Linked DNA regions of Caenorhabditis elegans. The protein of the gene in region 1 interacts with the protein of each later gene in a pairwise test. Each region holds a gene or a part of one and is shown on either strand. Other genes may lie near its edges.

What was found. Proteins that work in one complex are often made in the same cells at the same time.
Region 2: the proteins of E02H4.2 (region 1) and sym-2 interact in a two-hybrid assay, tested with the Caenorhabditis elegans proteins (one large-scale study listed by BioGRID).

What each region holds. Positions count from the first base shown.
Region 1 is NC_003284.9:14,276,622-14,283,629, forward strand, and holds E02H4.2 (MIF4G domain-containing protein), read right to left. Parts: upstream 5,006-7,008; 5' UTR 4,979-5,005; coding exon 4,862-4,978; intron 4,433-4,861; coding exon 4,271-4,432; intron 4,217-4,270; coding exon 4,154-4,216; intron 4,111-4,153; coding exon 4,015-4,110; intron 3,922-4,014; coding exon 3,805-3,921; intron 3,009-3,804; coding exon 2,925-3,008; intron 2,882-2,924; coding exon 2,665-2,881; intron 2,611-2,664; coding exon 1,842-2,610; intron 1,794-1,841; coding exon 1,704-1,793; intron 1,600-1,703; coding exon 1,543-1,599; intron 1,496-1,542; coding exon 1,415-1,495; intron 777-1,414; coding exon 743-776; 3' UTR 501-742; downstream 1-500. Other genes in the region: Degenerin del-1, read left to right, coding at 89-213, 265-419.
Region 2 is NC_003280.10:9,185,459-9,190,427, reverse strand, and holds the start of sym-2 (RNA-binding protein sym-2), read left to right. Parts: upstream 1-2,096; coding exon 2,097-2,121; intron 2,122-3,177; coding exon 3,178-3,600; intron 3,601-4,674; coding exon 4,675-4,849; intron 4,850-4,969. Other genes in the region: twk-4 (Potassium channel domain-containing protein), read left to right, coding at 1,948-2,121, 3,178-3,208.

The DNA.
Region 1 (7,008 bases):
ATGTAACTTGAAAAATGGTTTTGTTTCTAAAATACATTTATTCTCAAATAAATTAGTTGACAGTTAATGACAAAAAATCGATTTTCAGAGAACACGCCGCAATGATTGAAATTTATTATGAACAAATGAGCTATGAGATATTGAGAGAATCTGAGTCGTATTCTTGGTTCAACTTGATGGCCGATATGGGTGGCCAAGCTGGCTTGTTTTTAGGTGATTTTAAACAATTTGAGTAACTCGCAATTCAAAAAGTGAATTTTTCAGGCGCAAGCATTATGAGCGTGATTGAGTTTTTATTCTTCGCTGTCCGAACTCTTGGAATTGCATGTAAGCCAAGAAGATGGAGGCAGAAAACGGAATTATTACGAGCTGAAGAATTGAATGATGCGGAAAAAGGAGTATCCACAAATAATAATTGATTTTTGATCTCTGTGGAATTCAAATGTGAATAAACAGGTTTTTTTCAAACAGTCTACTCGGGCTCATAAAAAATCCACAAGAAGATACATTTTATTTTGATCAACTTTGACCGTAAAAAGTTGATATTCAAGAGAAAACATGGAAAGGTTGCTGTTGAATACACATAATGTTGAAGAGAAGATTTGTGTGGCCGGATTTCGAACTGGGATTCCAAATTTTGCTAAACGAAAATTATACAAACAAAGTAATTGAAGAATACAGGAAAATGAGAATGAGCTAAAAAACACAAAAACAGATAGAATGAAACGCACAGCTCCGTTGCTTAGTTTAGTTGAAAGTTTGTCAAGTGGAGAACTCTGTAAAATTTATTTTCAGTCCCGTTATCCACTTTCACGTCAAATCAGTAGTGCCATGAATCCTTCCGACCAACGTCATAAAGATTGATGATGTACCAACTATGCTAGTTAGTAGTTATTACACCAACATAGTTGATACATTCAATTTCTACGTTACAACATCTTGACAGGTTTTCCCTCGAGAATGGCCTGTGAGCCTGTAGAGAGAAGTGAACCTGTAGAGTACACAGACAACATAACTGCCCAGGAAAAAAAGGAAAAAACTATCAAGATGTTTTCGCCACATTTGAATGATTAATTATTAAAAAACCACGAATTCATGAGAATGCCTATTTTCTGAAAAAAAAAAGCGGCAACGAGATATCATTCAAAAATGTAAGATTTAGGTGCCTTCGCTACGAGATATTCGCGCGCCAGAACGGTATGCATTCTCATGATCAGGTGGTTTTTTAATAAGTGTTAATGATTCAGTAACAAATGAGTGAATAAGTAAAATATTTTTTTTAGTTCCTATTCAGTATCAGGGCCGGGGTTTACTCCGAAACAGCTATGCCTATGTTATTCTTGTAACATCGTTTTCAGGACTAAAAGTCTGGTTTGTATGCAAGTTTACCATTCTTCACATTAGTTCAACTCACTCTTTCTTGTCAACTTTCTTATTGTATTTTGATTTCTTGCCAATGCCCGAACAGCAGCCGTAACCGGGGTTTTTGAGAGTTCTAAAACATGATGTGCATTATAAAAAATACTTCCGTTGTCAACTTACGAAGCTTTGTGTGGGCTTTGTGAAGAATCTGCGCACGAGACTATAATGATTGAAGGTCTGAAATTTTAATGACAATGGCGGTTGAACTCAGAACTTAAATTGAATTTCATGAATGTCAAAAATAATAATTTGTTTTCAATTAATATTTATTGTAAACTCACGGAGTATATTGTTCCAATTTTTCCCATGGATTGTTTTTGTTGAATTGCATTTTTTGATCAATCTCAATGGGGACAGAAGGGTTGGAACTACTGGAGTATCATAATATTCGTAAGAAATTTCATTTTAAAAAAACTTACCCGCTTGAACTTTCAAAGGAACTTTCAGTTTCTGGATGTTCCTCATTTTCTATTGCAGCATGATCTAGAGACTGTCCAATATTTTCTTGCATGACATTCAAATGTATTTCTTGATGAAAGTCATTGATGTCACGGAGTAGATTTCTCTCGGCGAGGATTCGGATCGTTTCCTGCACAATTGTACTGATTGGTGCCTCCAATTGTGAAACTTTGCCGCTGACAACTCCAGTTTCTGTCGAAGGTGGCAATGGGTGATTCAGTGATACATCTATTGATTTGTTATTTGTTTCATCGTGAAGATTAGTAACGCTAAGAAGAATTGGTTCATCGTTGTTCGAAAAGTTTTCAGCAGTAGCGGTATCATGTTCAGCAAGTATTGTATTTTCAACTTCAGTAACTGATTTTGCAGCAGAAACTATAACGTCGGGCTCTGAGCGTTTAGAAGATTGTTCCGGTACAGTACAAAAAATATTGAATTCAGCAGGCCCTGTCTCATTCGGGCTCTCATTCTCGGCGACATCTGCGATCAAGCATTGCGATGATTTCATTTTCTCCGATTGGTTCCTTGTTTGACAATTTGTGAGCGTTGAATTATATTTTCCATAAGCGTCACCTTCATTCTTTTTAGTTTGTGGTTGAATTAAAGATTCTTCGGCATCTTCGTAAGCCGAGTTGAACGAGTCAGTAGATTGTATTGAGAGGGAGGGAGCAAGTACCATAGGAATTTCAACAACATTCGAAAGTTGTTGAGCGTTGCATCCATCAATATCTGAACGAGAGATGAATTTAAAAACAGAAAAAAATTGTATCGGACTCTTGTTACCTTTTGTTTTCAGAACACAAACTGTTTCATTTCCATGAGATATGACAATTTTAAGCTCAGTCTTGTTAGGAGACAGCGGTAATTCGGAAACGACACCTGATGAGGAGGATGAAGATGATGCATTATTGTTTGGCAAATGCTGTCTGGATACTTGATTTGAACGGTTTTGGTTATGGCCATGTTGGTTTTTCCTGTCGTTTCTCCGGAAATTGCTAGTCTAAATAACTCAATTCAAAAATGAAATAAATCAATATTGATACCTTGGAGTTACGGTTGTTTCCTCGGCAATTATGTTTTCTGTATTGAGAAGTAATGTCCGGTGGGAATAAAAACGGAGTCAAATGCTGTAAAGATGATTAAGATTTTCATGAAATTTTTTTTTTTGACACTAGTTAAAATTTAAATAAAATTATATTTCACTTAGGTAGTTTTGTTACGATCTCAAGGAGAGATGAACAATGAACGTATTGATTATTTTTTTACGGAAAGGGCAAAATTACATTTGAAACAGAGGTGGCGGCAATTGTCGTTTGGCAATCGAATTTTCGCCAATTTCGGCAGTTTTGGCAATTGCCGCAATTGCCGATTGCCGAAAATGTTGAAAACCGGCAATTGTCGGAATTACCGATTGCCGGAAGCCAGAATTGCCGGGAACATAAATTTAATACGTTTTGTAAATTTTTGAGTCTAAACATGCATTTAAAAGAAGATGTTTTCTTTTCAAGCTTAAAATGTTTAAATCCTGAAAGTTTTGGCCGTTATCTATTAGAAAATGACTAACCAAATACTAACAAGGTGATTTTTTTTTTCATTTTTTGAGTTATAATTATGTTTGAAAATTGCCGAAAATGTCCGGCAATCAGCAATTTCGGCAATTTTCGGAATCCCCGATTGCCGAAATATTTGAAAACCGACAATCGCCAAAATTGCCAAAATATTTGAAAACTGACAATTGCCAAAATTGCCGATTGCAGGAAAATTCCGATTTTTTTTAAGTGAGCATCAGCTTTCGAGTTTTCTGAGTCAACCTTTTATATTTTTCATTCCGACCTATTTTTTTTATTACAATAACTTCCAAAATCACTACTTTTTTACTGAACGTATTCAATTTAATTGTAAAACATTAAACTTCTTTCTTACATCCAAATAATTCAGGTCCTTCAGGTTCGGCGAGCTTTGAGCATTTGGAGTCCTTGGTTGGTACTGATAAGGAGGAGATACACAACACAACTTGTTCATTTGGTATTGATTACATGGCTGAATAAATTTTCCGTCCATGGTCTGATTATGGTAGGTTTAAAAAATGTGGAATGCCACGTAATTGTTCTCAATTGAAATTCTGATTTTTACCTGACTTTGTAAAGCATATTGCTCGGAATTGTAGTATTTTTGATGTGGCAGTTGTGCTGGGTGATTTTGGTTTGCATATTGGTAGCTTGTAAAATTCTGTAACATTTTAATTTCGAAATGTGTCAATAAAAGTCCGAACCTGAACATTCCAATTATTGGGTGGTTGAGATGGGTATGGGGCTGATGAAAATGTAGAATAATCCTGAATTCAAACATGAAACAACATTTAAATTTATAATTATCTGGTTTAAATTACCTGCACCACGGGAGCACCTTGAAAATACACTAAAGGATTTTGAGTTTCCGGAATCCACGAACTTTGGGGATACATCGGTTGCGAGAAAAACGCCGGGTTCGCTGGAGGGAATGTGTAGTATGTAGTCATCTGTGGAGCAAAACGTTCATACTTGGCAGGAAGCTGGAAATCCACTCAAAATATTATAAATTAAAAATTTTTAAATTTTTGGGTGAGGATGAACCAATGATATTCTGTATCTCCATGTGAGCACAGCAAAATACTCTTTCATTTTCATTGCACGCATTTTCATTAAGTCCCTTAATTTTTTTTTTTGCATAACTTGAAAATCGAGCATTAATCAACAAAAGCAACTGGTGTTATTCATGTTTTAGTGTGAGTGGAGATTTTGAAAAAAAAACACCGGCCAGTGCTCGTGCCGGTGCGGTACGAGGAAGAACATCTGTCACAAAATTAAGGACAGTGGTAAACATTCATCCCCACTAAACTGGCAAAAACAAAAAATGCTCGCAAGACCATGTCTCATATTTTTTCCATTTACTTTAAAACAAGCACAGTTTATATCTCTCAAAAGATTGAAAAAAAACATACCCGCGTTTCTGGACTTTTAATCGTTGACTGTGGATCTCCTTTGAATTCTTCATTTAAACCGTATTGTGGGGTCTGAGTTGGGTTCACAAAGCTTATTCTGTTAGAATTGGCTTCCATCGTTTGAGATTTAAATATGATCAATCTGAGATATATTTTTATGGCCCACCAGTGAATAAAAGGATATATGAAAAAAAAATAGAAGAATTGTAACATAGCACATACTTTAGTGACTAAATCTAGGTACACACTGTTAAAAATTTTCAAACATTATATTAGCATTCTATCAGTTTTGCACACTTCTGCATGTGTTCGAGGCTATCTAAATTATTCACAGCTTTTTTCAGACTTTTATAAAATTTCGTGTGATTAAAATTTTGCCAAGACTTGAGTCTCTACGTAAAATGTCAGTTTTGTAAATGAGAACAAGCTTTTGTATCGCATTGTTTCGTCGCTTTTTTTATACTAAAGTTCAAAATTTAGCTCACGCGTTGCCTATAATAAATTGACGCCTTTCCAAAGAATAGCAAAAAATAAAATCGAGAGAACGGAAAGGAGGAGACATCAAGATCCACAACTGAAAAAAAATGAGCATAAGACATTTGACTGTAGAAAAGAGAGCACAGAGAAGCTATGGCGCAGACAGAAAAGAGGCGGAGTTTTGAAAGATCATATGTAAGCGCATACATTTCCGAAAAGAGGGCTAACGAATATTCTTGTTCAACAACAAACCTTAAAAGCATTCATTTGCCATATGGTACAATTTTGAAATAGCTTTATGGCAACAAAGCAAAAGTCAAAAAAAAAGAGATTAAAGATGTATTTGATGAGATAGAACTGTTCAACTTTTTTTCAAGTATTAAGCTAAACGTGCAGCGGATTTATTTTTTTAAATTACTCATTTCAAGCTTCACGGGCTGCCCATAATATAAACTATTATAAAATCAATTTTTGAACAAGTTTACCTGTTATATATATTAGATGTAGATCAAAATCGTGAAACATTCTGAGATGTAATGAAATTTAATTTTTCACGAGAAACCAGATTCTAACATTTTGATACATTCAAAATGTTATCCAAAATCTCCAAGATGACAGGATAATTTATACATCACAAGGATTTGAACTAGAATTTTAGAATTCAGACTTTTGCAAATTTCTAAAATTGCTTCTTTGAAGTTACAAAACAGTTCCGTTTTCCTCAGGTTGCCAGTTTTTCAAAAACAAAAATATTGCAAAATTTACTGCAATTCAAAAAAAAATAGTACGTCGAGTGAAAAACTTTACATTGTTAAAATTACAGTGCATAAGAAAATATGACAGTTTGGTAATATAAACAGGCATGGCACACAATAAATTGTGCGGATAATTCAATTTAAAATTTTTGTAAGAATAGGGGCATTTTAAAACGGAAGTCGGTGATTTTTAACTCAATTAAAAATCTATATAAAGAATTGTAAAACAATTGACGCAAATTCAAAGTGTTGTAACCTTAAAACAATCAGAAGCATAATTAGTTTTGGTAATATGCAGCAAAACTGAACAAGCATACACTCAATTATGCATCATTTGAACTTTAGGATTTTGCAACTAGAAAAGAATAAAGTAAGATGATGTATTTTGAAACAAAAATACAAACTTCTAGCTCGAAGTTTAAAAATACCTTTGATTGAATGTTAGTGTGGAAATTTTTTGAAACAAAGTTAGGCACTTTGATACAAAACTACAAGAGAAAATTGAAGTTTCAATAAAATTTGTTAATTCCATTTTATACATTGAAATGTTATGTCGTCTTGATGGTGACTAGAAGAAAAGCCAACAGAGACATGTCGGAAGTTAATGGTTTTAGGGAAAACAAAACAATGTCAATTTGTGAAAACGTTCCGCGTACATCTTTTGTTGGGAAAAAACTTCACAAAAAAACAAATGCTGTCTATTATGAGAATTTGAATTTTTAAAATTAAAAATCCAGAGGTCTCTTTCTTTCTAATTGTCTAGTAATTGTAAATAGAAAGACGTCAAAACCAGAGAAAGTCAACATGAGTTTTATGTGAGTGATAATATTGGCATTTTGTTGTACTCTCCTTCTCAGTTTGAACATATTCCCACGATACAATAAATGGCTTTTGTCGTTCGATTCATAGTCAGAA
Region 2 (4,969 bases), on another chromosome or scaffold:
AAACACAGCTGTGCATGGGTCTCGCTATAAATTTAAGTGTGCTACTCGAGATTTAAAGTTTATATCGATGCTCCCAGTTTTTGTATTTATAAATTATATTTTTTGAAGCAAAAAAGAGACAGTCAAGAAGTTCCAAATAATGTTGGAACTCATGGGTTACTCGTCTAAGGTATATTGTGCAATCCAAACGAATTCCACGTTCTTGCTCTGAAGCAGTTGCTCTCAATACGTTTAGTTTGGGATTTTATGAATTTTTCGTCTTTCAGGCCTTTTCTTTTCTCAGAGCACCACTAGACACGTTTGTATAAGGACTTACTAGAAGTTTGTCTTCCAAAGTTGTCTGTGTTCTGAAAAAAATGTTCTCATTTCCTAATTAATTGTCAAATTAGACGAGAAAAAAAAACTGTTTCAATCCCAATTACCCAGTTACCATTCAGCGGTTTTTCCGTCATCATCTTTTTTCATCGTCTTCTCACTTCCAAACACAGTCTCAAATCTCTTCGACGTTCATAGTATTTCACAAGTTTAGATTGTCTTCTGAAGGTCTCTGATCTTCCCTTCCGTCACGTCCTCGAAAAATGAGGTCATTTTCTGAGCGGGTGGTGATGGAAACAAGATTTGAGAAGAGACTTAGATGACAAAGAAACCAAAACAGAAGGAAGTCGAAGTGGAACACGTGGGTTCTGGATTAGAGGTTTTTGCTGAAATTCGGAGGGAAACTAAGAAGTTTTATTTTTAGAGAAGTGATTCAAGTAAAACCTTTAAAAATTGAATTCTAAAAATGTAATTGTAATGTAGTAAATGATTTTGACGATCAATTTATCAGTTGTCCTCAAAATCTGATATCGTTAAAAATTTCAATTACAGCTTCACTTTTTTCTAGGAATCGGTTTTCAAAATCATGTGACAGCTTCTCAGCTTATCAGCTGAGCTTCTCACAATTTTGTCACAAAAACAAAGTGCAAAGAATTTGGAGTGAACGAGATTAGAAGGTTAATCATTTGAGCAAATATCAAATAGTTTCCCCCATATTCTCTCTTTCTATCGAATATATTTCTTTGCATGCGTATTTTCTCAGTTTTACCTCACGCCGGTAAACACGTCTTCTATTGCCCATCTACATTTAACCTTCACCTCTAAACATCCCTATCTTAATCTTAATTCGAAGTGGTATTTGGGTTTTTGCGGGTTCTTGTTGACAGCTAGATATGTGTTGGATAGCGAACATTTGTTGGGTTTTGAGAATTGTATCGAAAAACATAGCTCATTGGATTCCGTCGATCAAAATGAACTTGAAAAAAGATCTCAATGTTAAAGTTTTGGAAATTTTTGGGCATTGAAAGTTAAAATAAAGTACCGTGATCGCTATCCCAAAAACTACTTCTTTTGATTGACCCTGAGTAATTTTAAATTGGATGTCTAAAACATAAAAAATGTTAAAGCTACCGTATTTCCTTTATAAGTTGTACTCCCCGTTTCTTTGACAACCCACAGAATAACTTATTTCACAATTTCCAAAAATAATTCTCAGAAACATTTGAAAAAAGTAATGAACCAGTTTTCGTTAGAATTTTGCCATACTGAAGCTAATGATAGGAATACGGTAGTAAAAATTCGTGGAATTCTAAATTTTCTGAAGTAAAAATGGGTCCACATTTACGGCTTGTGTTATTCGCTGCTTGTGTCTATAAAACTTAATGTTTTTTTTGTTGTTTTTTTCAAAATGATTAGAACCTTGTGTTTTTGATGTTGTCTGACTATCAATCAAAAGTTTGGAAAATCCTTAGGAAAAGCTTTGAGTCAAACCAGTCAAAGGCTTCCAAGTCGGTACAACTAGCAGCCCTAACTATATCTCGATTTCATTTTCATAAGTTTTTTTTCTTCATCCGAATGTTCTCCATCATTTTCCACACATTCTCGATATATTCATTCTCTCAATTCTTGCAGTGTTCGAAAAAGTGAGTTCGTCGCAAAAGGGGCGGTCTCATTGTCGGCTGCTGCGCGGGTGGCGGGTCGACGTCTCGACGGTCAGCAGCCTCACCAACCCCGTTGGTTTGCGTATGTACCCAAGGACGCACTGACGATTCCCTACATTGATGAATCGGCAAACGTCTCATCCAGGCAAGTTGTTTTTTTATTTAAATTAATATTTAAATATCTTAAATTGAAAACCAGCACAACAGTTGTCCGAAGTTCCAATCTCACCTCATTCCCAAGTTGCCAAAAAATTTGGCATTGAAATATACTATCTTTATCATCTTTATCGTATGAGATACTAGTACGATAGGTTAACAGGAATGAAAATACCAACTATTGATACGACATTCAGAGATAAATTAATTTGGATTTTGAATGTTCTGAATGTAGAAGTAGAACATGAGCTTAGATGATTCTAATTTTGAAGTTCTAAAAAATAAAACAGCAAATTTTTAAATTTCGAGGGACTAGAAAATTAGCTGCTTGCTTTTTTGTTACAGAAATGAGTATGATTTTCAAGTTTTTCATGGATAATTTTTGAAACCTCCAAAAACAAATTTCCAGTACAAAAAACCTCAAACTATCAAGTTAATTGGATAAGTACAATGCTTTTTCAATTGTTTGTGCATTTTCGAAAACTCTTTATCTATTCTTAAATTAAAAAATGAAACATCAAATAATTTAATTTATTTTCCTCTTCAAATAATGAGTCTGACACCCCATCTCGATTTCACTTTTATTGAAACTCTGTAATAAATTAGTAGGTCAAGCTCATCAATCCCGGAAGCACTGTGTGACAGTCGGGGGTGTCTTGTTTCTCACAATGTCTCCCACAATCGAGACACGAAGTGTTTATACTACACAGGTCAACCCAATTTTGTTTGTTTACGTAATTCTATCGAAACTGCTCCTTTTGTTTTGAAAATGACGTGGCACAATGGGCGCCGAGGTGACCATGGCGGAGGAGAAGCTTAATTAAAATCGAGGAAAATTTGAAATCTTATTTGAATTGAACTGGAAACATTTTAGGAATCCGCAATTTTCTAAAATTTTAATTTTATTATTCAAGTTTCAGATACCGTTCAATATGTTTTGCCAGACTATTATTTCAATTTTCTAGATTTTTAAAAAATTAAATATACAAAGTTTTTCAAAAATAAATTCTTTAAAAAATTCCTACCTGCAACATGATAACTTCAGAACAACGACTACTACTCATACGAGTATCTGACGGAAACTACGATGAGAACACAAAACTAGTCGTCACCTCATTCTACCCACGCCGTCAGGAGGATGCCAATAATAATAGCACATCACCATCATCGGCCTCCTCATCCGGATCTGAAATATCAACTCGTCTTGTAAATATAACTCCTGAAGATGTCGTCAAATTTTTCGACGAGCATCCAACCTCATCATATATATTCACAAAAGGTCCAGAACCAATCAGACATGTGCTCATACCATTGTTCGCGAGAAACGAACTTTGTGTTCCACATCCACTTCATCATTATTATGATATCAAACATTTGTATTACGGTAATCAAGAAGAAGATGGTATGGAACAAGAAGAAATTGAAGATGACGTAGCAATTGCCAGGGCCATTTTGGATATGGATGACGGTATGTGTTTCATAAAATCGATTTAGGCGAAAACCTATTAAAATTTGAAGTGTTCAGAGCCACTAATTTAGAAAAAAATTATGACATTAAATCACATACAGCAATGATTGCTCTTACATTGAAAATTATTTGACTATTATTAATTCAAGTAATTGATGTTATTTTTGAGTTGCATTCCTATATCCATCGTTTGTAGTTTGATTACTTGCTTCGATGATTCTGGATAAGATAGATATGGTGGTAAAAGAATGCCCTACTGCTGTGATGAATGGTTTCAAAGCGGGAAGGACCTGTCACCTTTTTGGTGTCCTTTCAAGGGCCACACCGCCCGTGTTTGTCTCTTCTTTTGCCTTCACCATTTTCTTTTTGGAATGGGGTTTTCTATTGTGTGAGATATTGAATGGGAAAAAATACAAGTGGGTGATCTTGGGATAATGACTCGGTATGGGATTCTGTGACTTTACACATAAATTATTGTTTCAAGACAAAATAAGATTTTGCGAAGAATGTTCGATGCAACATGGCTAGTAGGGATCAGGGGCATTTGAACAAAATTTCAAGTTTTTCTTAAAATATTAATGATGTCCAAATAAATTGATAGATGTTGGCAAAATTCAAATGTTCCTATGTATGTATTTTACATTAAAGGTTCTCCTGATCATCTTGTTTTCTCTACTTCTCACCTTCCCACACTTTCTCTCAATCACCATTCGGGTCTCTTGTGATATATTTTTCCATAGAATGTAAACAGTGCGTACCAGTCAAGGTGTCCGAATGGATGATGGCTCTATGGCTCACCGCGCGCACAAAGGAGGGCAAACATGTGGAAGAGACGGTCCGTTTCTATGGTAAAATATGAAGAGAAATAGGAAGGACAAGTGAAAAAACGAGGAAGTTTTGGCAATTTTTTGTGGTTAAAAATTCGGTTTTCGAACAGTTCATATGTAGTATACCTACGTAGGAAATTGATGAGATAAGGATATTGACGGGAAATAGAAAGGGATCAATTTGGGAATGAAAATTGAAATCCATCGGAATATATTACAAATTAAATAAGATCATGTTTATTTTCAGAACTTCTCGAGAAAACCCATCAATTTGTGAATATCGAATACCAGCCTGCACCGATTCTGGAAGATCAAGAAGTCGGCGCCGACGGAGACAATGTTGTATGTAGAGCCCGTGGATTACCATGGCAGGCTTCTGACCATCATGTTGCACAATTTTTTGCTGGATTGGATATTGTGCCGTGAGTGTTTTTTGATTCAAATATTGTCAGAATAAATGTGGCATTTCGGTCATTATTTTTGAATTTTATGTTCCAAAATTCGATAAATACCTGTACAAACTCCAGTCATAGGAGATTACG